Linked DNA regions of Astyanax mexicanus. The protein of the gene in region 1 interacts with the protein of each later gene in a pairwise test. Links are inferred from orthologs where the notes say so. Each region holds a gene or a part of one and is shown in the gene's direction. Other genes may lie near its edges. The genes, in order: type-1 angiotensin II receptor-associated protein, tbrg4, ap3m1 and uncharacterized protein LOC103039245.

Region 1 (7,769 bases):
TATTGTACAGGCTTATGTAAAGGATTACTGTATTATAGGGGAGTATAGGGATCAGAGTGTATGATATGGACTGTATGATAGAATGGGCAGGAAAAGGTAGTATAGGGTAGTATTGGATAGTATAAGGTTCTATAGGCTAGTGTAAATGAAAAGTGCAGTATAGGTGAGTGTAGGGAGTAGAACGTAGTAAAAGGAATTATAGTGAGTATGGGGAGTAGTAGGGCATAGCATATGGAAATTTTAGATGGTATAAGGAAGGATAGGGAATGTAGGGTAGTATGGTGTAATGTAGATAAATAAGTAGTATTATATTAAGTATAGGGGAGTACATGAGAGTAAAAGATACTAGAGTGAGTGTATGGTAGTATGGAAAGGAAAGGTTAGTATAGATAGTATAAGGTATATAATGAGAATGGGGAGTAGAGTGTAGTATAGGGATGTTTTACATAATATAAGGTAGTATAGGGAGTGTAGGGTAATAAAGGGTAGAAAATGGGAGTATAGGGAAGTGCAGGATAGTACATGGAGTTCAGGGTAGTATGGGGTTTATATTATGGTGAGTAGAGAGTAGTATATGGACGTTTTGGAGAGTATAGTGTAGTATAGGTAGTGCAGGTAAGTATGGGATAATATAGAACAGTGAGTATTAAGAATATTGAGTATAGGGTAGCATATAGATTACATGAGAGTAACAGAGTAAGATAATAGAGTGAGTGTAGGGTAGTAAAAAGAGTAAAGGGAAGAATAGAAAGTATAGGGTAGTATACAGAGTACAGGGCAGTATAACGGATTATAGTGAATTATAAAAAAAATAGGGTAGTATAGGGAAGAATACTACATGGTTCAGAGCTCAACTAATGTCAGACCCCAAACATTGTCTGATTTAATATATTTGCGCAAAATAGAAACAAATGGTAGATTAGATTTTTTGCTAAACACAATAACACTGTTTAGCCAAGGGAGACAGAGATGGAGGTCAAAGGTCACACCTGCCACCGAACACGAGTGAGTAGGCAGGTCCCATCTGCCAGACGCGTGGCACACAACAAAGACGTCCATCCCCACAGGGTGTGAGAGCACCCCCCAAAACCGGCCTTCTGTCTCAACTCTCGTCTAATTCATCCAATCACAGCTCATAACTGACTTACAGCTAACGAGCTGTCGCCACACACACAATACACAGCGCAGCTGGCTAATTCAACACACCCGCATCCGTCTATCACACTCATAATTGAGTTTTTTATAAATGTAGGCTGGTAGATGGTCTCCTGGCTCTGGGATTTTGTGCTTCAGGGGGCTTTATCAAATCAATGATTTAAATGTTGCCTGATTTTAATGTTTAGATGACAGTAGATCATGAAAATTTGTCTTGATTTGCTTTCGCTTTGATAAGTCTGTGTAGACCTTTTCTCTCCTGTGTGCTCAAACCTTTTTAATAACACGGCCCAAATACAATACATGAAAGAAATTGAATTGTCATGGTTGATATTTCACACAGGACAACTCATTTCTGTTCCGGGGATCCCATGATGGAATATAAAATGTCACGATATAATGTAATTCAGTAGACTCATAACCAGGGATTTAAGCACAAATACAGACTCCCCACCAATAAAGCTGAGCGCAGACATACAGGCTGAAACTCACCCGCCTCAGGGACTCCACACAGGTATTTAAACCCAGATTTACTCTCAGTGCACCAGCAGAATGCACAAATGAAGAAAATGAATCACTGTAACTGAAGGGAAAGAATGTTAAGAAGAACAAGGTGGATAGATATATTGATCTATCTAGCTTTTCCAGTCCCTGTAGAGAAGTGTTATATAATGCGAGGTATTGAGCTGTGGAGCGGTCGAACTGTGTTCTCTGGAACTCCACCCAATACTTTTGGAATGAGGTGGGGAAGACCAAAGCTATCATAGGTATTGAAATTAATGACCCAGGTATAAGTATAGATAAGAGAGTATAGATATTAGAGTTTAAAATACTTCTGTAGAAGTTGAAGTGTCAACTCAAGCTTTTTAATCCAGTAAGAGTGTCTAAGTATTGGTTTCAGAATTACTTAAAAATATGAAAGTAAATGTAATGGCCCTTGTTGGTTTCTTGCATTATTTATTTGCATAATAGTCATATCCTCCACTCCTTACTCACTATCAGTGTGTAGTCTTGTCAACCAAGGCTGCCTTTCCTTTAGTACTCAGCTAATAGTTATTTCTATTTAGTCAGTCAGTTAATTACTAACTTTTATTCCAGGGAGTTTAGCTTGTGTTTTTTGTCTTTTAGTATAAGATAGAATCACCCTGCTTCCCTTCTGCCAGTCAAAATCAATAACACTTTGCAGTAAAGAAAACGGTAACTTGCTTTTATGCCCTACAACCAGTAATGTTAAACTCAGATTTGAACTAAATCAATTTATTTGAAAAACACAGTGTTTCGATATACTGCTTTGAAGTCTGTATCAAAACAAATAAATTCAAATCAGCTTTCATTACATCACAAAGTTTCAAAACATATATAATAAATAAATATATAATAAAGCTGACTACTCAGCGTAGCCCCAGTGGACAAGACTACACACTGATGGATTGAACTGATTTTGTGACGCCATCTTTACTGAATACTGTGGTACTGTGACAGTACCACACCCACAGAGCACACTAGCACACAAGCTTTTCATGAATTCATTAATTTATTGAATTGTGTAATACATTGTGTTGAAATAATAATGCATCCCAGCACTCACATAACAGTAGAGCATATACAATCACTTATTACAGCTGATGTCCATAAATTTTGGGATTGAGGGCCCTCTCTGTTGAGAATGGGTAATTGCACCAAAAACGAACTGGCACATTGAATCTAGATTAATGTACCTTGAGCTCTTCATCGGTGGTTGACAGGCACGTGTGTTTATTGCGTGTAACGTCACCAAAATACCACATTTAAAGTATAGTTACTGTGGGCCATGCAGTGAAAGTAGTAGAGACAAACATACATTTAATATAATCTTTTAAGAATTTAAAGGTCCCTTTCCGCTAAAATCCACTTTTTCTTGTTCTTTGTGAAATACAGTAGGTCTCTCTGAGTTGTATATTGATGCTGCACATGAAACTGTTCCTCAACCATTGCCTGCAGTAGCTAGTAAATGTTCAGAAAAACGAGTCGAGCAGTAAAAGCACAGTCTCTACCTTAATCTGTGAATTAATATTCATGGCCTTGCCCATCATGGAGCTAACAGGACTAGAAACAGCATAGCAGTTTGTTCCTGTATTATTTGTGTAAATAATATATTAGTGTTATATGCTTTTCCCCAGTAATTCAGAGGTTATTCAAACAGTTAGAATTTGTCTGTAGAATACCACCAGCACAGTACAACTGAGATAGGTAGGTGTGTGTTTACACTAGTTAAAAGTAAAAAGTGCACCCAGGAGTTTGTTCTGAATGCCTGGGCGGCTCTGCTGCAACTCAGCTGATTTTTTTTCTTTCTGGACCTGGATTACCCACCTCCATGTGTTTACATATGATCTCTGGTGGATTTTGTGTTTTACAGAGACTATGAGTCTAAGTCAGTGGCTTACTTGACTTAGCAGGGCATTACACATGTTGTAAAGTAACATATGACATTGCAAATACTGTCATTAGTGTAAAAATGTCTTTATTTTAAAATGTTTCTATCTGTTGTCCATCTCGCTGCAGTCATAGTGCTGTTAGCCAATCAGAGACGATATGTTTGCATGTATGAATATTAATGAGCAAAAGCAGAAATCCTCGTTTCTCCCACTCCACTCCTCCACGGGACTAAAGCACAGTTATGCCGAATCACCAGAGCACAAAAACCAGCACACATGGCATTCATTCATACTAGAGACCACAACTAGACATTTTAAAGTTAATTTAAAAATTATGGAATAAGACTTTTAAAGCAATAAAATTGAAACAGACACAAAGTAGGGAAATATGCTCGCCCAGATAATATGGGTAAGGATAACAGAGACTCTATTATAGATATTATTTTATTTACAGACTTCATTGCGCTCAGATAGATAGATAGTAGGGGTGGGCGATATGGCTCTAAAATAACAGTACGATATTTCAGGGTATTTTTTCGATAACGATATACTTGGCAATATAGGAAAACAGAAAAAATAATTCATTAACTTCAGGAATATAGTATAATAGTATAACAGTATAATCATAATGTGGCAAAATAAATAATATAGCCTAAAATAATATAATGCAGCAAAAAATATTGCAGAATATTTTCATGCATATAAACTGAAAACAAAAACTAAACTAAACTAAAACAATTATATAATACATACACCTAAATCTTCACAGTAAATAATGGACTACTTTTAAGACAGAACATCTCTATTATCACGATATGGATTTTTAATATCATGATATTTCTGTGTTACGATAAATTGTATACAATATAATATTGCCCACCCCTAATAGATAGATAGATAGATAGATAGATAGATAGATAGATAGACAGACAGACAGACAGACAGACAGACAGACAGACAGACAGACAGACAGACAGACAGACAGATAGATAGATAGATAGATAGATAGATAGATAGATAGATAGATAGATAGATAGATAGATAGATAGATAGATATTATCTGATTTGATCAGTGGAATGTGTTATTAGGCAGGCTGTGAGATGCTGTATAAGACCTCAGTGCTCTCTGGCGTTTATTTAGGAAGGAATCAGGGTCACGTGGTGGAGTCATGCTGCAGTCACATGGCTGAGTCCGGCAGTGCAGCAGCAGCAGCAGCACAGTGCTGGACTTCACTAACTTTTCCCCCAGTCTCAATCTGAAGTGCTGAGGACAATCACAGCTCACAATATGGAAATCCCGGCCATAAACCTCAAGGTAAACATTAGCCTGTGTTTAGATTTGCTGGCTGAAGCATTAAAGAGTCAGCTTTTATTAGTTTATTAATTCTATCAGCAGATTCTGCTCATCAGGTGTTTCTATTAGAACCATTATCTCCATCCTTTTATCTGCTGTGTTTTATCTGATTTAATCATGTTATACAGGCAGAATGTGTTATTTTATGATGTTCTAGATGTGTAACAGGCTTTATGGTTGCACGTGAACGTCTTTGAACTGGATTAGTGAATTTGTGTGTGTGTGTGTGTGTGTGTGTGTGTGTGTGTGTGTGTGTGTGTGTGTGTGTGTGTGTGAGTGTGAATCAGTGTTTGCTTGTATTGCTATTTCTGAAAGCACCAAATATCTTCACAATGAAAAGATATGAAAAAGTGAATTAAAGGTTTTGGATATTGTGAGTAGGTTAAAGCGTTAGGTTTACGATGCTATTGCATTACTTGTTTACAGTATATTGTAAAACACATATTAGTGTATTTTATTATACGTTTAACTTTCAATGAAAGTATTTTTTAAAATTAATATAACTTATTATTTTATGCCTTTGTCCTTCCTGGCAAGCTGTAGTGGACAGTAACAGACCAGACATTTTTAACAAATTAAATGTTGATGGAAACTTGATTGACCTAGATTTGCAAGTTGTAGAATTTTTCTTTGTAAGCTTGATCTGTTTTGATTTACTCAAAATATTTTATTACTGTTATATTTCACCACAATAGAATAGGTTAACCATTCCACTGTATGTGTTATAATATAGTGTGTTTATTATTAATATGTAGGTTACCATTGTACTGTATATTTTATAATATAATGTGTTTATTATACATGTGTGTGTGTGTGTGTGTGTGTGTGTGTTGTAGGCCATCGTGCTGGTCCACTGGTTGCTGACTATCTGGTGAGTAAAGTGGCTCCTTGGTGTTTTTCCTCACGTACCTGAGGAATTTCCCCAGCTGCTCCGTCTGTTTGTGAGAGGTTGGGATTTTCAGGGCTTTATTTGGGATAAATGTCTGGATTGAAAAAGGCTTTCACTTTCCTCACGGCTGATCTTGTCTAAATAGTCAATCCCACTGATTTTAATCAAATGAGGCAATACAAATAGAGCCGCAAGGTGAATAAAGCAGGGAGAAACAACTACATTGCAATGCAATATAAAAAAAATACAGAATTTTTTTTTACCAATTTTTAATTTTGTGCTGAAAAGTGAAATCTTCCAAATAAATATGTATACAAGTAATATAACATTTATTGTGTTGGGAATGTTTTTTTCAAACACTTTATACAACTAAGTGAAGCTAAGCAACATGACTATTTAAATGTATCATGATAAATTTACTTGTCAGATCTTTTTAAGCATGTAGAGCATATAATTAGTGTTTAAATTACTATGACCCAACTGTACATTTCATTATAGAGAGTGTTCAAAATCCTGTTTAATTGGTAAATGTGCAGCAACTATCACTGTGCTGTGCATAAAATAGTTGAATTCTGTTTTTTTAAGAATCTGCCGCTGTTGATGCATTTTGTGAGTGTCAAACTTTTGTGATAAATATTGTTTATTGTGTTACTTACACCATGGATGCAGGCTTTTATACTGTATATATCAATACGGGAATTATATCAACATAAATAAATAAGTGCTTTTATCTGGGGTGCTGTTAACTTGCGGTTTCAGAGGCTGGTAATTTTGATGGACTTACAACAGAGGTAACTCTTACACTTCCTTTCCTGGGGTGGTCCTAATAAGTGGAATGTTTTGGAATGACTGACCTTTATTTCTTAAAGTATATATTTTTTACTTAGTTGAGTAGTTATTGCCTTCGAGTAGAACATTACTCAAATATGCCTATTCACTGTATACCAACTCTACCTCTTCAGAACTTAAAATTCAAGTAATTAAGGCTTGGTGAGTTCAGCACAGCTGTTAACTGAATGCCTGAATTCCAGGTGACTCTACCTCATGAATCTGACTAAGAAAATCAAGCCAGGATGTGCGAAAATGTCATCTAAGCGAGAGATGCTACTTTAAAGAATCTAACAATTTAAATGATGAAAAACTACTGAATTTATGGTGTGTCCAAACTTTTGGCTGGTACTGTATATTGCTTGATAATTAGCATATAAATAGCATTTTTTTTTCATTTAAAACCCAAAAAAATAAACATTTCTTGATACTCTCTGATCCAGATCTACTGGGTTGGATTGATACACCCCTATTAGAGGCATTAAACTCTGATGATTCCCAATGACTGGGGTGAATAGATTCATTGTGCATATCAAACTAACTGAGTGTAGCTCTCCAGCCAAAAGTATCCAAAGGACAGTGCATATTAGAAACTGCTGACTGCTGATGAAGAGCTACAACTGATAAAGTCAAAAACACACACCAAGATTCTGAGCAAATGCGTCTCAGATCCGCCAGTGAGCATTATTTCCGCATGACTGAAATACCTCTTAGTTTAAAAGCATTCAGACATGAATTTAGCTCCTTATTAACAGACTCTGAATTCCTGCAAAACTTGATATTCAATTATTTATCACATGTAAATGCTTAGAGGTGTGATCTAATTAGAAACTGGGCCTCTTAAGCCACAAGAGGATGTAAGAGTGTCTCCCACTGACCTTTTAAAAAGGCTTTCAGAGGTTACTTTTGGGCAGTATACCTTTTGGTGAGAGATCACTGATTAATAGACATGCCTGTACAATGCACTCAAATGCACAGTCCCACCTTTGCTGTGGAGTGATACACCACCCCAACTGCTGATAAACTACTGTGATGATCTAGATTGGATTGCATTGCAGACGACAGTCAGTCACCCCTAGTAGTGATACAAGGGACTTCCAAATGCCATTATTCAAGTTATTAAGTTTCG
Region 2 (7,265 bases), on another chromosome or scaffold:
ACTGTTTTTAGCAAAAGAAAAATTCATACAGTTTTAATTTATATACCATTATATATCTACTTATTATATCAGATTATATCTGTCCAGTATAATTTATTTTACTTTAATCCTGGATATATGAAGATATATGGAGTGCATTATTAGTATCATGAAATTCTGAATCATTGACTTCTGTTACAAATCTGATAAAATTCTTGTATTTTTTAATATCTTAGTTAGGGATGTGCCGTATCATATCGTTGCAGTAGCGCATTCTCAAAAAATATATATATATTTTTTTATTCAGTGTTTTGTCATATCGCCAAGATGAAATTATTTTAGGGCCATATCGTCCACCCCTAATCAATAATATGTAAAAATGGCATTTATTGGTGTAGTATTCAAAGTACAGTAGCACGTGGTTTGGGATGCAGAATTTATATAACCAGGATATTACCCATTTTTCCACTAAACTGAATTAATCACATATCATGGCCTGCACCAAACAACTTTAAGGTAGACTATATTCTTGGTTTCACTTAGTGACACTGAGAGAGCAGGGGTGTAGGAATGAAATCACACTGAATTGTGAACCTGGTTACATAAATCCAGCTGTAATGTTGACAAATGTATTGCTATTATTAGGGAGCTTTCCCTGCCACCTTCTCCCCTTGTGAACAGTGATTAGGTGTTTAGACCTCCACTTCTGGGAAAACTGGAAACAACACCTCTACAAAGTTTATAGTTAATCAGTTCAGTTAAGTCAGTTCTTTCAATCTGATCAGCATTCCTGCATTACTTTGAGTGAAGCCGTGTTGTACGGCAGATGCTATACTAAGTTGGCCTCTGTCTTGGTGGTAAAGTATACAGTCAGTCAATAAATGGTTTGTCCACTGTGGCATCTAGTGTCTGTGACCTGGACCCATCTATTTTATACTATGTGGCTAAAGTACTATAGAATTAAATAATACCTGAAATTAAGATGCATACCTTCTCCAGTAACTGGTCAACAGTGTACTTCTCAGCAGTTTTCTTCTTGGCTTTCTCCTGCATCTTGGCCTTCATCCTCTCCTGGGGTGACATTAGTGTGTGACCTGAAGCTGAAACAAAAATGAAACCTTTCAGACCTAATCATATAAATAATTAAAAAACACCTCAGTAACCAAAATGTTCAGCCAATCAAACACTGCTAAAACAACTCAGCACAATCAGCTCAAGCGGGTCAAGGTGGACAAAAGGTTCAGCTATTAACCAGCATAGGCCATGCCTTTATTTGAGTTGGGTTTGATCAGAAGGACTATAATGAACCAAGTTGGATGATCAAAATGACCTAGCTAGCTGATTAACATAAACCAAGCTGGTTGATCAACATAAACCAAGCTGGTTAATCAGCAAGGACAACATGACCAAACTGGTTGACCAACATGACCAAGCCTAACATGACCAAGCCCAACATGACCAAGCAGGTTGACCAACATGACAAAGCTTGTTGACCAGCATGACCAAAACAACCAAGCCCAACATAAACAACTTGACCAAGCAGGTTGACCAACATGACCAAGCTTGTTGACCAGCATGACCAAAACAACCAAGCCCAACACGACCAAGCTTAATTTTACCAATATGACCAACTTGACCAGGCTTAATATGACCAAACCCAATATGACCAACTTGACCAGGCTTAATATGAACAATATGACAAAACCCGATATGACTAAATTGACCAAGCTCAATATGACCAAACCCAATATAAACAACTTGACCAAGCTCAACATTACCAAGCCCAACATGACCAACTTGACCAAGCTTAATATGACCAATATGACCAAACCCAATAAAAACAACATAATCAACCTCAATATAACCAATATGACCAAACCCAATATGACAAACATGACCAAGATGATTGATCATGACCAGCATAAGCTACATGACCAAACTGGCTGAACAACATGACCAAGCTGGTTGGGCAGTATGATCAACATGACCCCTCTATGCTGGCAAATAACTGTTATTAGGGTGCACAACAGCACAGGGTATGATTTCACCTAGATGAACAGCTTTTTAACCAACACAGAAGAGCTTAGACCATCCAAGACCAACAATTAAGTGACACAAGAAACTTTGCCCAAAGCAACAGAACTATATGGAAGAAGTGTTTTTTTTTTCTGCAGCTGTAAGCTGTGTGAATATTTATAATGTAGGCTATATTAAAGCAGTGTAATCTCAGTAGCTGAGCTGTATCTGAGTGCAGGTGTGTTTATCAATCAGTCAGTATCAGACAGTAACTTACCTCCTCCACGGTTCTCTTTCCTCTTAGCCTTGCTCTTCTTTTTAGCTTGTCCCCCCATTCTAATACTGTAGCTCCACTGGACTGGAGTGGATAATCACCCGGGTATATATCTGTGTCAGGTTTATTCCTGCTTGTCTAAGAGAGAGAGTTGTTGTGACTGAAGAGTGTGAGTGTGGATGTAAGCAAGCATGGGCAACAGCCCCTTCTTCTTCTTCTGCTTCTCCCTCACGAGCCACGCGTGCTGCTCCCCCTACAGGTTGGAGCTCTACAAAAGATCCTTTTCTATTACATAAATTAACATGAAGATAAATTAATAAAGAAAGTAATAAAGTGTGTGTTGGAGGTGTTGCCTGGGGTCTGAAGATGATCAAACAGAACAGAACTAGCTAAAAGACAAAGTAGACACCAGCTTTTATAGTCATTATAATATCTGCATTACAACAGACTAAACACCAGGTGGAGCCATTAAAAACTCATGTTAAAATGCATATAAGGCAAAAAATACTATGTTATTCCAATCGTTGATGCACAGTATCATGAGATAAATAAATAATTGATTTGCAGCAAAATATGATATTATTATTATTTTTTTTCTCAAATTGCAATTTATATTGCAGAGCAATTAATATCAGACTATAACACAGGGGTTCTCAACTGGTCTTGTCCCGGGAGCCTCATTTTCTCATGGTCATTAGGTCAAACCGCACTTTTATTGAATACAAACCAAACAAATGTATGCATGCAAACTGAATTTAAGAGCAATATTTAAGAAACATGAGGAGGAACATGAAAACTACATGTCTAAAAGTTACTACAATAAAATTTGGTAAATCAATTATTTTTTTCCATAGCCCCATATCAGGGAAATTTACTGGGAGCAGTGCTATTCGTACAGTAAGCAGTGCTGGTTATAATATTATAATATTAATAGTACAAAGTGTTATCAATTATGTCATGCTGCACCAAATATAATATGTACACACAACCTTACACAAAAATAATTCGATTTTATACGACAAATACAACGTTTTTTTACTTTCTTATTATTTGGTACCTAACTTTGGTAACTAATTTTTAATGATATTATTTCTTAAAGAATGAAAGAGCACAGCTGACATATTTAAACAATATAATAAATTTATTTTATTTATTTTTTGCATTCAGAAATTCAGAAAGATAATTTGTCGTCAAAATAAAAATCTCTAATTTTGTAATGTTTTTAATTTTATTTTATTGTCTGTTTAAAATCCATTTTAATACAGGATTTTAATATTTTTGTTTGTTTTTTTTTGTTTGTTTGTTTTTCGTTTTTGTTTTTTGCCGTTCTCTGTTGCTGTTTTTTTAAAGGTGGTTGTTTATTAAAACTTCAATAAAAAAATTGAAAAGATATTAAATCATTAAGCATAAACGCTTAACTTGTCGTCAAAATTAAAGTCTCTCATTTCTTAATGTTTTATTATTCTGTTTAAAAGAAAATCTATTTGTTTTGTGCAGTGAATAATAAATAATGTCCGTTTAAAATCTATTTCATTACAGGCTTTTACTATCTTTTTTGTTTGTTTTTTATACAAGTTTATAATGTTTTTTTTTTAATACAAGCTAATAATATTTTTTTGTTTTTAATACAGGTTTATAATATTTTTTGCTGTTCTTTGTTGCTGTTTCTGTTTTTATTTAAGATTGTTCTTTCTATTATAGATTCAATATTTTTTTAGTTAACGCTTTAATTAACGTCAACGCTTAACTTGGCGTCAAAATAAAAGTCTCTAATTTCGTAATGTTTTTTATTTTATTTTGTTTAAAATAAAAAAGATATTTGTTTTGTGTAGTCAATAGTTGTATCGTGTCTGTACACAATCTATTTTTTAAAACACGTATATAATATTTGTTGTAAAAGGTATTTAAATCCTATACATATAGATTTATGCCTATTACAAAACGTGTCGCAGAAGTAGTGACGTCTCACTAACCTTTACACTGCATCATGTGTGACGTGAATACTCGCGCGACCCTTGCGGGCTGCTCCATGTGAAAGTCGCCGGGATGTGCGTGAATGTGAGAGTGTGTTTGAGTTCTGGGATAATCTGTGTATAAACTCGTGGATCTGAAGAGGTAAGGCGGTGGTCTGTATTAAAATGTTGTGCGCGGGTTAGCAGTAGGGTGTTTGAGGAGGCTGGCTGTGTTATGTAGTGAGCAGTGAAGTCTGTGTGGCGCCTCCATAGCCGGCAAGGTCAGTGCCTGCTGAATGAAACATATTAAGATTTTACTTTAATCTTCTATTAAAGGTGAGCTTATTACAGAACAATGCCTTTAGCTAAGTGTTATCTAACGGCTTTCTTATGGAAAATCATAAAACCCTTTAAAGCTTGCTGAACTAGCTTGCCTAATTGTCTAATTTACTGATGCCCTAAATTTTAAAACATGTACCACCCACACTCAAACTAAAATCACCCACATGAACATATGCAAGAAAACTAGGGGTGACCAATTTGGCAAAAAATCAAATAAAAGCATGTTATTGAATATCCTGATGTCAATGTGAGATACTAACTTACATTATTGCTACAGATTGCAAAATAAATGCTGCCAAATTACTTTCATTTTGAAGTTCATGACCTTTGGAGAAAATGTTTTGTGAATGTTAATGTTTTTATCCGACAGTAATATGTCATTGTCTCAGATGAAGCAAGTTGTATTTCTAAAACTACAGAGATATAAACGGTATATTAATTAAGTTTCAAGAGTTCAGAAATCAATATTTTGTGGATTAACCCTGGTTTTTAATCACAGGTTTTTATGCATTTTGGCATGTTCTCTTCCACCAGTCTTACACACTGCTTTTGGATAACTTTAAAGCTAACTCTGGGTGCAAAAATTCAAGCAGTTCAGTTTGGTTTAATGGCTTATGATCATCCATCTTTCTCTTGATTATGTTCCAGAGAAACTCAGCAATTTTAAGTGGTCTCCAGGGCTGCATATTGCTATATGAAAAATACAGGATTTAACATAATATTTTGCTGGAGATCAGATATTCAACATGGGTAGAAACCATCTGTAATCTGGTTGTATGTCGTTGTCCTGAGCTGTGACTACTGCGCTCGTGTACACTGTGAAGAGAATGCTGAAACATTGTGTTGTGCTGTCTTACTATAAAATGATATATATAGTTTGGCCGATTCTTTTTAATAATTGTATTTATACTAAATCTATAAGGATATTATTCTGTATGTCCATTTCGAAACGGTCTTAATCTTTTTTGTTTTTTTTTGTCTGTTTATTTACATATTTATTTTTGTTTTCTATTTTTTAGTATTGAATTAGTTGTGTTTTATGTTCAAACAAAGAAAAGCAAACTAAATAAAATGTACAAAAAAAAAATAAAGATATAATGTGAACGGGACTCGGGGTGTAGTAAAACATAATTAACGTGAGTAAAAACTTTGGTCGAGTAACCCATCTCCGTTCACCTCCAGCACTGCAAAATACAGCGCTTTTAGCCGATTCTCCCAACAGGCTTACAATGTTAGTGATAGGGGGTATAGCTTGGGTAAGAGCTGTAGCTAATGTATCGCAGGGCTCTAGAGCAGGCTTGGTGACATATTGGTGATGTTTGCTATATAATCCAGGCCTAGTGCTAATATTGTCACAGTAGTTAGTTATGCTAAGAATTAGGAAATTAATGATGGTTAAAGATTATGATAAAATGTGTATAAGTAGCAATAAGTCCATCTGAGCTCTAATGTAGTTAGTAATGTGCAATGTGCAGAGTGGGTGAATAGTCTGAGGCATGTAGCTGGTCTGAGTTGGGTAGCAGAAAAAAGAGAGGCTGAAAGACTGGGAAACATACACTCCACACTATTAGCAAACCAGTTTTATTTGTTGCTTCATGTACCTAAAACCTGTTAAGCACTCTAATCAATGCTCTCTCTCTCTTTCTCTCTTTCTCTCTTTCTTTCTCATCTTAGGATTTTAATGAACGTGTGGATGCAGGTTGGTGAGTTGTGAATACGCTGTCAAGTTCAAAAGCCCCCCGAAATGACGGCCAGGCTTCTGAGCCGATGGGCTCTCCTGTTGTCCAGATGTCCCCAACCTTCTGCATCTACTGCCCACCTGAAAGCACTTGCTGCCCTGCCTGTGGAGCCACTGTGGTCCCAGGCCTGGATTCAGACCCCTGTCAGACCTTTTTACATGAGCAGAGAAAATGCCCAGGAAGAGAAAACAAAAACCACTTCCCAACAAACAAACTTCCATCTTCGTATTGATAAGGCTGCCACTCCAAAGGAAGTGCTGAATCTCTGGAAAAATCTGGGCGGCTCGACCAATCAGGCAGCCACGTGTCTGGTCCAGATTTACAAACTGTCTTTAGGGACAGGAGTGAAAAGTGACAGCAGTATTTTGAATGACCCTCGGTTTGCAGAAATGCTGAAGGCTGTGCATTCTCAGGTAATAATGTGTGTACGTCTGCTTTACGGGATTTCCAGACATTTATAACCCCCAGCTTGTAATTACATATCTTTCTCTTGCCTGCTTAGAGACCCATGTGGACAGTTTGTGGGTCATGGGTCATCTGTTCTGGACCTCAAGAGCTAATCAGTACATACAGTTTGGTTGCTCTCCTGCTCCGTTTGTAAGATGCAAAAAAAATTATTTGAAAGTTCTCCGTTCCTGACATCTGAAGAGTTCTGGGCCTTTAAAAGCTGTCATGCATATAGTAGTAGGGCTTGGTATTGTATTAATACAGATACCAAAACATTACCTTTTTTAATATTGTAACAAAAAAAAATAATAAGAAGAAAGTGTTAATTATTTATATTCAGCGTATTTATTTAACAGGCCAACATGAGTTATCTCATTCTCATACTGTAATCATGAGATTTTGTTGGAACAAACAGACAATTTGCATCTTGGTGGCACTTTACAAAAAAGCAACATTACTTGTGCTTAAACAATAGATTTTTTTTTCCTAAGCGTATTGCGGAATGCAGTTCAGTTT
Region 3 (7,575 bases), on another chromosome or scaffold:
TGAAACAAACAACTTCTAAATAAAATAAAAGCATGTACAATTAAGGCTAAAAGAGAAAAGCAGACTCCTGGGAAACTTTTGAATTAGAGCAGATGTATCTACGTGGGAGTTTCAGAGGTAAGGCAGCTTCTGAAACAGATGTTCAGTATGGATATGATATGGAGGTGAAAAAGAACAAGCATGGTCATCTCCTGCTGAAATGCTAAAACAGACAAAATGCACAAAAACCTTACAATCAAAATAATTACAGATACAGTATTTGTTGTAAAATTGTATCAAGAATATACATGGCATATTCAGGATTCTCAGAATCTCACCATAAATTATCCTACTATCAGTGATCATCAACATAATCATAAACATTTCAGTAACAAGAAATAAAAGAAAAAGAGTCTACATCTCATTAGATCATCACCCACAAGGTTCTCCCAATGCAAAAAGCTACCCTTACCTGGCCATGCTTCTAGCTGGAGATGATGCTGGAGACTCTTAACTGAGATCCAGAGGAGTTTTAAATATAGAGCAGATTTAGCCAGCAGCAGTGCACTGTATCAACAGCGCTCAAAGTCAGGAGTTTCTCTCCTGCTTTCAGCTGATTGGCTAAGGGACTAAGGGAGGGGAGCAGATGATTGGGGGAGAAGAAAAAAAGAGGCAGTGCTCTGACAGGGGGCTGCATTTTGGGCCAGGAAAAAAAAATAATAATAAGCCAAGTCTCGTGCTGCTGCTGTCAGTGCTGCTGCTGTCAGTGTGTGCACAAGAAACAGATTTAGGCTTATTAGCAGTGTTTTTACACGCTGGTGGAACGAAGTTAGCTGCTTCATTTACAATGATGCTTACATCTAAAATAACCTACACTTAATTAACCACAATGAACCATTTGAAACACGCAAGTTACTTAATACTTATTTAGCACTAACCGCAAAGGACATTGGATGAACATTAATTTTTTGTTTGCTTTAGACCTTTTCATGGTTATGATGGAAAAACAACCTTTATTTTATTATTTATACTAAGACTTTATTATTTATACTAAGTAATAGACATTAGTTAGCGTAAAATTATAACATTAAATCTATGTTCATTAATAGATTTAGGTGACGTGCTTCCTTTAAATAATAATAATAATAATAATAATAATAATAATAATAATAATAATAATATTTTTAAACATTGCTTTCTACACCACAAAAACACGTTAGAAGCTTTATAAATAAAATTTAAACAAGATAATATAAATATGTCATGTAACTAAAAAATAATTAGTCGGTCAAACAATGCATATATACACCATAGATTTGATTACAAGTTGAATTAACCTAACAATACCTTGTCTACAGTCCTTTTTAAGCTCAGTTTAGTTCAGTTCATCAAGATTTAACTACATACTTAATGTAAAGTAAAGAATAATAATTACAAACATTGTATATATAACAATATATACAATGTTTGTAACCATACCATTGAATCCAAACTTAACAACACCTTGTCTTTGTGTTTCTCCAGTATTTTTATTTTACACCCACTATATAGTACTATATAACTCTACATTCCTATACTGGTATAACGAAAATAATCAAATTTAATTAATTGAATGAGAGGAGAGTTACACAAACTATTATCTATAGTTTATAGGTAAGCAATCCTATGTATATAGTTTCCTAACTTAACTGTCTGTGGCTGAAATGACTGCAGCTCTATAGAGAGCTAGCTACATGCTGTCTGGTTAGGGGACTGGCTGCCAAAGCAGCTTGTAAGCGTGTCACCTCTCACACAGAATTTATTTTGTGACACTGGCCTTATGAACCCTTATCCCACTTTCGTTTGGAGCTGCCTCTCTATCTCTTTATTTCTTTCTTTCTTTATGTGTGTGTTAGAGCCCCCTGGCCTGAAACTGAAGGCAAAGTGGTCAGAGGACTTCTCTGAGCTGTTAGCTAAGCTACCTAAGATACAGCTCTGTATGAGAGACCACTTACAAATTATGATTTTCTTTGATTTTACCAAATTGAAAACCTCTGGAATATAATCAGGAGGAAGCTGGATGATCACAAGCCATCAAACCAAGCTGAACTGCTTGTATTGTTGCACCAGGAGTGGCGTAAAGTTCGACAAAAAAAGCAGTGTGTAAGACTGGTGGAGGAGAACATGCCAAGATGCATAAAAATTGTGATTAAAATATTCCACCAAACATTGATTTTGGAACTCTTAAAAATGTATAAATATGAACTTTTTTTTGCATTATTTGAGGTCTGAAAACTCTGCATATTTTTTGTTATTTCAGCCATTTCTCTTATTTTCTGCAAATAAATGCTAGAAATGACAATATTTTTAATTGGAATTTGGAAGAAATGGTGTCCGTAGTTTATAGAATAAAAACAATATTTATTTCACTCAAACATATATCAGAGAAACTGATTCAGAAACTGAAGTGGTCTCCTAATTTTTTTTCAAGAGCTGTAGCTAGTTAGCTAACGTAGCTAACTACATAACAAAAGCCACGTGGGGCGGGAATTCCACCGGCTCCCACCTCTGGACTGAACAGCGAGCATACCCAAAGACCACATGTGCACGTGTGAGCGCGTGCATCCGCCAAACCCCCAATTTAGCAAGTAGGTTAGCTAGCTTAACTTCTTAGTTAGTCAACTTTATTGTATCTACATTGTCTAAAATATAACAAAACAATCCTCTATTACTACTTTATACTTTTTTAAAACTTATTTTTGACTTTGTTTTTAGCTTGTAACGCTCGCTACCCAGTAACTTAGCTAGCTAAACTTACTAACATTTCCCACGGCCAGCAAACAAGACCCCAGCATGAACCTCATGGCATAAATAAACTTAACTTGGTAGTTAGCTAATCAATGCTAAATGGTTGCGATTGTTTCTCAAACAAAAATTTGTTGCAAAACAGAACTGCAGCAGCTGCACAGCAGAGGAACACAGAGAGATCTCAGTAGCAGAGCACAATGGCAATGAGGGATTTACCTAAATTACATAATTTAATCAGGATTAAATCCAGATATCCCAGCTATGTGTAACGTAATTGTCATGTGTCATTTAACCCGAGCTTAAAGTGCACACAGTGCAGACCACGCTGCAGTAAAACTCACTCCCTAACTTGAGGAGCTTCTTCTTACAACACCCATACCCATCGCACAGCACAGTCCAACGCCTGTGCTCAGCTCACCTGATCAGATCAGTCTTTTCCTCGAGTTTGATTTTCTTTGCTTTGGGCTCTCCTGTGGCCATGGTGCTTTACCTGTGCGTCCACTGATTTGCGCGCGCGTCCCTGACACCTCACCTTGCTGGATCAAGCGGGAATGAGAGATAGAGATACCGCCGGAGGAGATAAAAAAAAAAAAAAAACACTGCAGCCCGGTTTAGAGCTGCCCTTTTCTGCTGCCGGACCAGAAACAGCTGAGGAAAAAAGTATTGCGTAAGTGTTTAACGCCATTGACAAAATATAGTTTATTTGTTACAAAACATACCTAAAGTTTTGCTTCATCTGTTTTAAAATCCACTTTTTGACATTTGTTTGCATTATTTTCTACAGAAGGTGTCAGAAGCTAACGTTGGTAAGTTAAGGGCTAGTTAGAAAATTGCTGCGAACCGCTAGACGGAGCCCGCGAGCGAGTCCTCAATTAATTGGGGTGAATGGAGCTAAAAGCTAAAAACTCAAATAAAAAATATTAACAAACTACATGTCCTGGAAATTATTTTAGTTTTAGGAAGAACAAAATGGTATTTTGCTCTGAAAGCAAATAAAATATGCCTATGTATTTCAAATGTTCTACAGCATACGTTTTTTAGGCAGTAAAGGCGCTAGCGTTACTGCTACTGTGAGCTTAGAGTTGACAGGTTGAGAGATGATGCTGAAGATACAGACAGAGCACGGAGTTTAAACAGTTTATAACTTGTTTAATTTGCAGGGACAGTGCTCATTAGACAAGATAGAATAAACTATGTACACGAGGCAGAGTTTCATCTGTAGTCTGTGACCAGTTCTTAAATAAGGCAAACTAAAATAAAAAAAAAACATATCTTAGATTAAAACAAACATTTAAACACTACAGAATAAGAGACAAGCATCCAACAAACACAATACAAGTAATGCAACACAATCATTATTAAAAACATGCAGAGGCAATTTATATTCAATTTATATTCTGTTCAAACATTTATTTTTTAGCAAGCTACAGTTTTAACTGATAAGTACTAGCATGATAAGTACTAATTTTTAAAAATATTTTATTTCTAATTTTCTACCCTGATTTTCTCCCCAATTTACACGGCCAATTACCCAACCCAAATGTGCTCACTCAGGGCTCCAGTAGCCGATGGCAAGCTACATGAGCAGGACTCAAATCGCTCCCGATCATAGTGGCAGCACATATCTTGCTGAACCACTCGGTGCCTTTGTTAAGTTGAAAAGCTTTAAAAAAAAAGATGTCTTCTGTAGCAAAATGTTAAAGAATTTAGTATTTTCATTTTTAAAATTATCAAAAATGTATGAACTCTGATTTTGATCAAATGCTCCATAGGAACCCATTCATTTTGGACTCACTCTAGAGCGCCCTCTTTTCTCTGACTAACGCGGAAGAGGTTCTGAAGTGGGAACTCTCTCTGTTGTAGAGACTTTTCTGCCGGGTTGCTACCGAGGACTTTTCTCAGCTGGAAAACTTACTCAGCATCAAGACAGTTCTCTAAAAGGTATTTTTACTGTTTTGTAAATGTATTTTACAAGTGCAAAGCGTTGGTTAACAGTATATCCTGTGTTCTGTCTAGGTAGTGTCATATTTAGCGAACCAGAGGCTGAGAAATATGTCTAAAATCAGGCACCAAAATAAACAGACGCTAAACTTTTTACTGGCTAGCTTGGTTAGCTACACTTGCTCTGGAGTGGTGTAGGTAGCTAAATGGCTAAGTCTGTTTTATAGCTAATGTTAACGTTAGCTAACAAGCTAGTTAAAGTGTTGACAGCCTCTTATAACAAAAAATCCATTAAACAGATATAAGTTCTCTGTGACAGTGGGAACATAGTAGTTTACAGCTAGCTAGCTAACTCTTAGCTGTGTAAGTTAGCTTAGCTCGTTAGCTGGCAAGCTCAGTTACTGTGAAGCCCACATTCCACATTCTGCAGCATCTAGAGATCTTCAGATGGATAACACCTAGGTGTCAGATAGCTAAAAGCTGGCTAGCTACGTTTGTTTCTGAAATTTTAGAGCAAACTGACAACCAAGTTACCCACAAGCTTGTTCAATTAAGTATATTTCTTACGTTTGTGAAACCGAAAAAAAAAATCATTAAACTGTTAACAGTAAAGAATTTATACTTTGGCCCATTTAAACAAAAAAATGGAGGTTATATAGTTTCTTGACATTATTGTCAATGAACTGCACTTTATTTGAATATTTTGAATGTAATAAAGTGACAGTTAAGTCACTAACTGGTTGGTGTGGTGCAGTGGATAACACCACCGCCTGCCAGTGAGCTACCATGTGGGAGACTGGGGTTCAATTCCAGGTCTGGGTGACTATAATGTGATACACCAGTAAGAGTCCTTGGGCAAGACTCCTAACACCTCAGTGGCCCACCTCGTAATAGGAATAACCGTGTAAGTCTCTCTGGATAAGAGCATCAGCTAAATGCCATAAATGTAAATATAAATGTTTATTGCAGAGAGCATGCTAAAAAGTACGCATGCGTTTAAAAGATGCATTGTGTTGCTGTTGATTAGCTTTCAGCTTTCTTCAGTTCTGGTTCTGTTTTTTTTTTTTTTGCTTAAAACTGTGTGTATGAGCAGGTGAAGACTCAGTTTGCAGATCGGATATCTCCATGTTTGTAGTAGCTCTTGTATCAGCACTGTGGTTACTGTGGTTGGCATTCTGACACATGCACGAAATTTAAAGTCTGCAGTTGGTTTTATCACTTCATCCATCTAAACAGCACTATGTTTCTTTTCACAGCTCTCAACATGATTCACAGCTTGTTTCTGATAAACAACTCTGGTGACATATTCCTGGAAAAACACTGGAAGAGTGTCATAAGTCGTTCGGTCTGCGATTACTTTTTTGAAGCTCAGGAGAAAGCAGGGGAACCTGACAATGTACCTCCTGTCATCCGCACACCTCATCACTACCTAATCAATATCTACCGGGAGAAAATCTTCTTTGTTTCTGTCATCCAGACTGAAGTTCCTCCCCTCTTCGTCATTGAATTTCTTCATCGAGTTGCTGAGATGTTTCAGGTATTCTTCTTATATTAGCATATAAATTAGCTCTTTTTAAAAAGTTACGTTTTAGTGTTTTTTTGGGTCTGTTTAAAGTCAGATCTTTTCTGGGACTGGAAAACTGGCCTTTTAGCTTTTAAACTAATGTATTTTTGTAGTACTAAATTATTCTCTACAGTAGGGTGCTAATGTACAGTTTATTTTACCTTTTATATTTAACTAGGACTATTTTGGGGAATGCTCTGAAGTTACCATTAAGGACAATCTGGTAATAGTATATGAACTACTTGAAGAAATGCTTGACAATGGCTTCCCCCTGGCCACGGAATCCAACATCCTGAAAGAGATGATTAAACCTCCCACAATTCTGCGCTCCATGGTCAACACTATCACAGGTAGAGGACTCCTATAACAACATTTAATAACAAAAATGCATTCACATTTCTGTCGCTTGCCTGACAATTTGTAAGAATAAAAGTACCGTATGCTGTTTTGCATATTTCAACTCCTCTGTGATCTTTCCAGGCAGCAGTAATCTTGGGGCCACTCTTCCTACTGGACAGCTGTCCACTATCCCGTGGAGGAGAGCAGATGTAAAATACACTAACAATGAGGCGTATTTTGATGTGGTGGAAGAGATTGACGCTATCCTGGATAAGTCTGGTAAACCTTACCTGTTCTTGTTTTTCTTACACATGATATTTATTATTTGTAGAGAAGTGTGTGATCAGCTTGGTTGAAGGATCTTCATTGTTCACTTCTTTTTTTCGACATCCCATTTCATAAGAGTTCACAGTGTTTATTTGGAACATTCATCGTTTTCAGGCACAACAGTGTTTGCAGAAATCCAGGGTGTGATTGATGCTTGTGTAAAACTCTCAGGAATGCCTGATCTCACACTATCATTTATGGTGAGTGCAAGTAGATAAATACACACATAGAGAGGCTTATATGATTTATGTTATGTCTGTACTTTTATCTAATTCTGCTGTATATTACCACTTATTAGTGAGCATGGTTGTGTTTAGATTTAGTGACATTTTCCCGCCTCTGTATCCACTGTGATTTCTTCATTCTGTACTCTGTGAACAGGGGTAGAAACTCCATAGCTCTCAAACATTTCCAATCTTTTTTTCTCTTTAATTTTTTTCCTCTGCACAAGTGATTGTTACAGAGATAAACTATTTATTGATATAGTTGGCATTTTTTTTGTGGACATGAAGAGAATGGAATACACCTTAATCACACAAACACTATATAAAATGTGTGTATATCTGTAAAGAACTCTTCATCATTTCCAACATTTCAGCTGTGATTTGCCATTTATGTTCTTTATCTTCCACATTTTT
Region 4 (6,894 bases), on another chromosome or scaffold:
ACTTATGTACCTGTTGTATCTGTAAATGGAGAACAATATGAGTTTCTTATCCTCTGTTCACCGGCCTGTACTCTTCAGTATTCTGACACTGGACTACTTGATAGATGTGAATACATTTCTGTTGTTTCTGTTATCATACATGTTAAATATAACAAAAAACTACATTCATATGAAAATAATTACTATTATTAAGTTGTTTGTTTAGGTAACACCTATTAGTTAAATTACTGTAAAATTAAATTCAAGCACAATATCCACGCTGCATGAATAGCAGTAAAACAAGGTTTTGGGTAAACAGTAATTAATCAATAAGACAAAAACTACATGTTAAACTACTGTTTTAACATTGTTATTTCAAAGTATTTGTAATTTAACTATGCATTCATTCTATAACTTAATTGATACAAAGAAAAACCCCACTGTCCTCATTTATAATGACATACGTACCAAATATAGAATATATCTGCCCAAAATCCTTTATTTTATTCTAGTCTTTGATACACAGAGTGCATTATTATCATTATTACATGTTGGGTTATTGATTTCTGGAGAAATCTGGTAAACCTTTCTGTATTTTCAGTTTGGAAAGCTCTACTATAAACAACGCAGATTATACTGAATGTTAGACAGCTGTTAAAATGACCCCCCCCCCACCTCCCCCATTACAGTTAACCCCATCTGTGCTCAAGTAGTAGCAGAAACCATATGTTAGGTTGTATCCCACTGTCTCCTGCTGTTAGTAAATACACTTTTTTATTTGAACAAGTTTGTTCTAATGCTTATTAATCATTGACAAATCTATTATTTGTGAAATCTCTTTCTTTCAGATCCCCCAGATCTGAACGGCAGTGAGGAAATGCATGTTGAAGAGGAAAGTGATGCTGTTCTGTCCTGTAATGTTCAGGCCTTTCCTCCAGTAGCTGTAATCTGGAAGAAAGATGATGCTGTGCTAGATCTTTCCACCAGTACCTACCACACCAGCAATGATGGCGTCACCGCCAAGCTGTCCATCTACAACATCAAGCGCAGTTCACACCAGGGCCAGTACAGCTGTGAGGCAACTTCACCCACCTACGGACTAAAGAGCAAAACCTTCATCCTCATCGTTGGAGGTTCGTGTGTCCTTAAAGTAATCCTCATAATTTCCAAAACTGCCTATTCACCCTCTCTCAGCAGGCTGTCTAGGAATGATAGCGCTACCAGAGTGTGCCAATTTCTCCGCAGTTTATAGTGTTTTTTTTATGTCCCAGTGTCCTCCACTGATTTTATAGGTAGGTTTAATTACTGGTAACGTCATATTCCTGTTTTTATATAGAGGTTTCCTTGTATGGCCAGTTTTAATAGTTTAAGCATGAGATATAGGTACTAATTTTAAGTTTGATTAAATTCAATGCAATTCAATTTAATTTTCAAACGTCTTTGTATGGATAACCTCACTGTGGTTGCGTTTTCATAAAAACACAAGTTTATCCATTTTTATTTCTCCAAAGCAAACAAATTACAAGATTAAGTTAAGCAAGCAATGAAGCAATAGACGATTTACTTAAAGAATAAAAAAAGGTTTTGCCCATTATTTTTTTAGTACTTTCCTTTTTCCCTTGGCACTTTGTTATATTAAGATGACAAGAATAGAAATATGACTTCATAACAAAATTCTGTATAAGTGAAATGTATGCATTTTGAAAGCTTTTAGATTTTAGAATACTAAGCTTTTAGAATACTAATTGCAAATTACAAATATATACTAATCTAAAATACTTAAATTGTGATAATATTTCACTGTCAAATGTAATTTAAAACGACAAGTAAATATGAATAAATACACACTGCTAAAAAAAAAATGTTCTGGCGCTTATTTTTTTAAGTGCAATGTATTAAACAAGGGGTGTACAAATGCAATGCAACTGAAATATTCCAAGAGAACTCAAAAGTAGAGACTACTAAAATATTCTTATGCTTAATATATATATTGAACTTTGGAGACTTAAAAAAATGCAGCAAGTTTGAAGATTCACTGAGTACAATATACTGGCTTGTTTCTCCTAACAGATAAAGTAATGAAGTTCCCCCTGTGGCCCACAATTGCTGGCATTGTGGTCGTGCTCCTTACAATGCTGCTAGCTGTCATTTCCAGATGGCAGAGGGTTATGAAGGTAACACATTTCGGCCTCAAATCTAGTGTTGTACAAATGTGTTGGCACCCTGGAGCCGATTTCATATTTTATTGATTAATGCAGTTAATGGATGCAGTGTAAGAAGCAGCATTTAATGATCAAAACACATTACAAATTACAAAAAAAAAAAACATTATTCAAAACACCAATTTGCCCTGTTTAATATGTTTCTCTCTGATTCTACCATTCTCTCACAGAACAAAACGTGTCTCTTTTCCCTCCACAGTGCTTTAAAAGAATCCACCATTAGTGACCATCACCTTTGGGATTCAAAGTACTGTTGCTGAACTGAACCACAGGCCTGCCCTACTGGAATGCTACTGCATAACAACAATCTCCAAACAAAACTTCTCATATGAAACTCTACACATGTAAATAAAATTAATTTAAAAACACACCATTACTGTCTGCATCAAGTCCTGCATTTTTGGAACTTGTCATTTGATAGAAGTATTTGAATAAAGTAAACCATAAAGTTTTGTAGAGACCTTTCTTTACACTTGTAAAATGCAGATCTAAATGCTAATTACATTGTGCAATTGCTCCCTGAGGCTCGTTAAAAAGGTGTTATACATTGACTGCTGCTGAGTAAAAAGGAGACGCTGCCACACCTGGCACGTTTACAGCCTGGTATCTCAATGTCATGGCAATATAAACCTATTAAAATTCTAACAATTACGAATTCTCAAGGCCAGGTGAAAGGTTTTCCTCAATACGAACTAAAGGAAGGGGTCACTGTAAATTTGAATGTGTACTGTAAATGTCTGTAAATCACTGTCTGGCAAAAAAAAAAAAATCTTGTATCTCCATTTTTTATGTAATTCACTTTGACATCCTTTGAATCTGGCAGTTGTACTTTACATTATGCCAAAATTAAATGAAGTATGGACTAATAGAAATGCTCCAAAGTGAATAAAACCTTAAAAGTTGCTGTTAAAACACAAATGTTTTGTGTGGTGTTTTGTTCGCCAGCCACCATTGCTGCTGTACTTGCAGTATTATCAACCATTGTGAATAACTGTTCTAGGTATGAGTAGCTCGACTACTATTTTGCATTGCTCTGTAGGATAATAATGCATACCTCATTTAAAAAACTCATGGATATATTATTATACTCTATATTACATGTTAGCTAGCAACATACTCAAAAACTTGTTAGTTCTATCTATTAGTAACACCACATATATTAATTGTTCATTTTAAATCTAACAGTGTTATTTATTAAATGGTGAAAAAGTTTGTGTATTGTTTTAGAAATGCATTTTTAGTGGGGCATTTCTCAATACAAAGAGAAAAAAACTACATTGTTTCATAAACACCACATTTTTTTTGTTTTTTAAAAACTGAATTAATGTTTTTTCAAGTACTACTACTCATATTGTGTGCATTTTCTTTGTATTTTAGTTGCAGCTGTTAATTTCAGCAGTTACAAAGTTACTGGCTGTGTGAATAAAAAAGGAAACAGTCCGTTTAGCATAACAATACAGCGCCTGTTGGGATGAATGCAACAATGCAGAGCATTGGAGCATCACCTTTATTCGGCCTATTTGGCTTGTTGTCTGGTTTTAATCGCAGCATGACGGAATAATAGACCAATCAGAAGTGGAGGGAGGGACATATGAGGTGAAATATACCAATCGTTGAAGAGAGTGTTGGGTAAATTGGCCAATACAAGGATCAGGAGGCGGGGCTTGTGGTGCTCCTGCATATTGTTTAAGGGCGGTCCGCCAAATTCAAACAGTGAAACACGGAGAGAAAGGGCTGCGGTCGGTCCGGTGCTAAAACCCTGCAGAAACACACAACGGTAAGATATCGGTCTTTATCCTTTTTTAGCTGGGTTTTTATCTGCAGTGAGTCTTTTATAGGAAGATGTTTGTCAGGGAAACAGGTTAAGGCTGAGGATCAGTATATAACGTTCAAATCCAGGCTGGGGTATCTTACTAACCTTAGCTAACTTAGGTTTTTTTTTTCTATGCCAGCTAACCTAGCTAAGTTAGCACAGGTCCCGGTGTAATGCGTATCAATCTTGTTAGTAAGCTAACCTAGCTAACTTAGCTAACTTATCTGATTTCACTCTACACAGGATTACACACGAAGGTTAGCTAGCTAGCTAGTGTAATACAGAACCATTGTATTGATTTTTGTGAGTAAATAATAAAACATTGAGATAATGGTAAGATCAAAATCTTCATTAGCTAGGTAAGCTAATTTAGCCATTATTTTCTTTTACCAGTGTTCTGAATACCTAACGTTAGTCTTCCTGATAGTGTGCACTCTTTCCTGATATCTTTGTTTGAGTAAAATTTTGCAGTTTAAGTTTTTGATTGTATTAAGCTAAATTTAAAACAATTAAATTGGCTATAAAACACATAATTACATACATACCTACATTTAGTAAAGTTATGTTTTTTATTCAATTTTTCCATTATTTAGTTTTCTTATTTTAGCCTTTTGTAAACAGAGTTCCAAGAAAAATTAAAACTTCAATTTTTTTTTAATTTTATGTGTCTTTTAACACATCTAATGTTATAATCCAACTTGTAAACTGAAAAAATCTACACAAACTACATTATAAAAAATAGTTTTTGTGACCAATTTTCTAATTTCGGAAAATTAACAGTCGGAAAATTAAACTGCTAAATGTTAGACTGACCAATGTCACTTTACAGGCTCTGATTTATAAATGGTCAATATGTAAATAGTATTTGCAAAATGCATTAGAAGTGGCAGATTATTTAAACAAAGTGATTTTTTTGAAATTATTATTACAAATTCCCTGCATACCCTACATACAAAAAGGAATGTACAAATCCAAGGCTCTATGTAGTTAGTTAACATAGCTACATTTTACCAGCAAATAAGGTGTTCCCAGGCATAAGGGTATACTGCACTGCAAATTTTTTGAATTAATGGGTTAAAATAGCCTTCTTGTGTTGCAAATATTTACATACAGATATCACAATGATGATAACAAAATTAAATTGCCTAAAGTGTTTAACTAGCTAACACTAGATAGGTCAGCTAGCTAGCTAGCAAGTTTAGGTTAGTAAGTTTGCTAGGTTATATATGTAGCTAGCTATTTTCTTACCCCTCAGATGTTTTAGCCAGCACTGCTAATTAACTAACTTGTTAAAGAACATTATCGAATTTTAGTTAGCTAATAGCTATAACACTTATGTCTAACCCATATGACATTAAAATGTTTACCCATGTACAAACGTTCCTCTTTCTGGGTCCCCTCCTTTCCCAGGTTCCCCTCCTTCCCTTTGTTAGACTCTCAGTATGGCGGCTGTGGTAAGTGGTCTTTGGCGGGCTCATAGTGTCCTGGCGGACTCGGAGCCGAACAGCTCTCCTGAAGCTCCTCAGCAGAACCTCCGCAAGCTCCGCTCCTCCAGCTCCCTCAACTCTCTCAGGATGTCCCTGCGAAAGAGGCTGCCCCTTAAGACCGTCCAGACCAACACCAATGTCCCTGAGAATCCCACCTGGGAGACCCTCGAGATGAACAAGAAGACCAGTGCTGTGACTCAGATCAAACGCTCCGCCAAGAACTCCATTGGCAGCGCTTATCAGGTACTCTTCCATTTAAACAACTGCCTTTTAGCCCTCTGTTTTACCTGGGTTGGCAGTGTTCCACTACACCAAGTAACTATTATCTATTCAAAGAGCTCAACTCTCTTGGCCGTATTAGTGCTTAGTGTTGGTTTTGCTAGATTTAGAAACCCTAAGGTTGCATCCTGCAGAAAATCAAGTTCATATGTGACAACAAGTTATTAGGTGAGGGAATGAGATCCTAATGTGTAGCCACAACTTGAAGTTTAAGCACGCACAGTTAAAAAGAAATGGGATTTCACTTTATGCATTTATATCAATAAATTTGGGTGAGTGGAAAAATGCATCACAATATTTAGGGCATTTTTAATTTAACAGTATTTGCAAAATGCACTAGTAGTGACAGATTCTTTAAACATGGTTTTTATTTTATTTATTTTTCTTCTACCAAATGTCCTGTCATCCAGTTATACACCACAAATTAAATTAAACCTATGTTCTTTAAGTACTGGTGATATCCACAATATGCTCAGAAAAAGCATAACATTTACTATAACAAATTCACTACAATATGATAAAATATTGTCATATTACCCCACCCTAGGAATATATGTGTATGTTCAGTGTTTTTAATGTGAACATATGGTCAATACAACATTTGTGAAACATGCAGCAATGTAGTGTTTCCAGGATTTCCACATGTCCTAGAAAGTTTAAAACAAAAAAAAAGGATAAAGTTAGGGAACCTGGCTACAAAAACAATACAAAAACAACAATGCTGACATATTTTTAGTTTTAGTTTAGTTGTGATTTTTACTATAAAATGTTGGGCCCAGTTTTCCAAAAGTGTCCCAAGACTCCGCTAATACACTCATATGGGACTCATTTGGGTGGAACCTGGGCTAGGTACGTTTCAGGGCGAGCTGGGTTCCGAGATGTTTTTTTCACATCATGTGTTTTAGGTTTATTACGTGTAGGATCCATGTGTAGTGTACAACCCAGATGAGGCCCATGTTAAACCCCTACTTGTCCCAATACCAACCCTAAATATCCAATTAACATTTTACATTGGTATGTGTTTTTAGTATAGTAACTACATCAAATGTAAGTTTAAGAAATTAGTCATAAGTAACATTTATGTGTTGACTATCGTTTGGATTAAACTTTTTTA

The links.
Region 2: the proteins of type-1 angiotensin II receptor-associated protein (region 1) and tbrg4 interact in binary tests that used the Homo sapiens proteins (3 or more experiments, as listed by UniProt). The two-hybrid records come from large-scale screens. The link is inferred for Astyanax mexicanus from reciprocal best matches to the Homo sapiens genes AGTRAP and TBRG4.
Region 3: the proteins of type-1 angiotensin II receptor-associated protein (region 1) and ap3m1 interact in binary tests that used the Homo sapiens proteins (3 or more experiments, as listed by UniProt). The two-hybrid records come from large-scale screens. The link is inferred for Astyanax mexicanus from reciprocal best matches to the Homo sapiens genes AGTRAP and AP3M1.
Region 4: the proteins of type-1 angiotensin II receptor-associated protein (region 1) and uncharacterized protein LOC103039245 interact in binary tests that used the Homo sapiens proteins (3 or more experiments, as listed by UniProt). The two-hybrid records come from large-scale screens. The link is inferred for Astyanax mexicanus from reciprocal best matches to the Homo sapiens genes AGTRAP and PIMREG.

The regions. Positions count from the first base shown.
Region 1 is NC_064431.1:8,274,795-8,282,563, forward strand, and holds the start of type-1 angiotensin II receptor-associated protein, read left to right. Parts: upstream 1-4,746; 5' UTR 4,747-4,857; coding exon 4,858-4,884; intron 4,885-5,759; coding exon 5,760-5,794; intron 5,795-7,769. UniProt on the Homo sapiens protein: Appears to be a negative regulator of type-1 angiotensin II receptor-mediated signaling by regulating receptor internalization as well as mechanism of receptor desensitization such as phosphorylation.
Region 2 is NC_064408.1:110,806,488-110,813,752, reverse strand, and holds the start of tbrg4 (FAST kinase domain-containing protein 4), read left to right. Parts: upstream 1-4,248; 5' UTR 4,249-4,384; intron 4,385-6,237; 5' UTR 6,238-6,307; coding exon 6,308-6,715; intron 6,716-7,265. Other genes in the region: uncharacterized protein si:dkey-12j5.1, read right to left, coding at 970-1,079, 2,273-2,330. UniProt on the Homo sapiens protein: Plays a role in processing of mitochondrial RNA precursors and in stabilization of a subset of mature mitochondrial RNA species, such as MT-CO1, MT-CO2, MT-CYB, MT-CO3, MT-ND3, MT-ND5 and MT-ATP8/6. May play a role in cell cycle progression.
Region 3 is NC_064414.1:37,935,598-37,943,172, reverse strand, and holds the start of ap3m1 (AP-3 complex subunit mu-1), read left to right. Parts: upstream 1-4,570; 5' UTR 4,571-4,707; intron 4,708-5,963; 5' UTR 5,964-5,971; coding exon 5,972-6,244; intron 6,245-6,449; coding exon 6,450-6,621; intron 6,622-6,751; coding exon 6,752-6,889; intron 6,890-7,051; coding exon 7,052-7,137; intron 7,138-7,575. Other genes in the region: adka (adenosine kinase), read right to left, coding at 3,185-3,246. UniProt on the Homo sapiens protein: Part of the AP-3 complex, an adaptor-related complex which is not clathrin-associated. The complex is associated with the Golgi region as well as more peripheral structures.
Region 4 is NC_064424.1:13,215,563-13,222,456, reverse strand, and holds the start of uncharacterized protein LOC103039245, read left to right. Parts: upstream 1-3,873; 5' UTR 3,874-3,978; intron 3,979-5,424; 5' UTR 5,425-5,456; coding exon 5,457-5,744; intron 5,745-6,894. Other genes in the region: tmigd1 (transmembrane and immunoglobulin domain-containing protein 1), read left to right, coding at 828-1,112, 2,050-2,153, 2,372-2,461. UniProt on the Homo sapiens protein: During mitosis, may play a role in the control of metaphase-to-anaphase transition.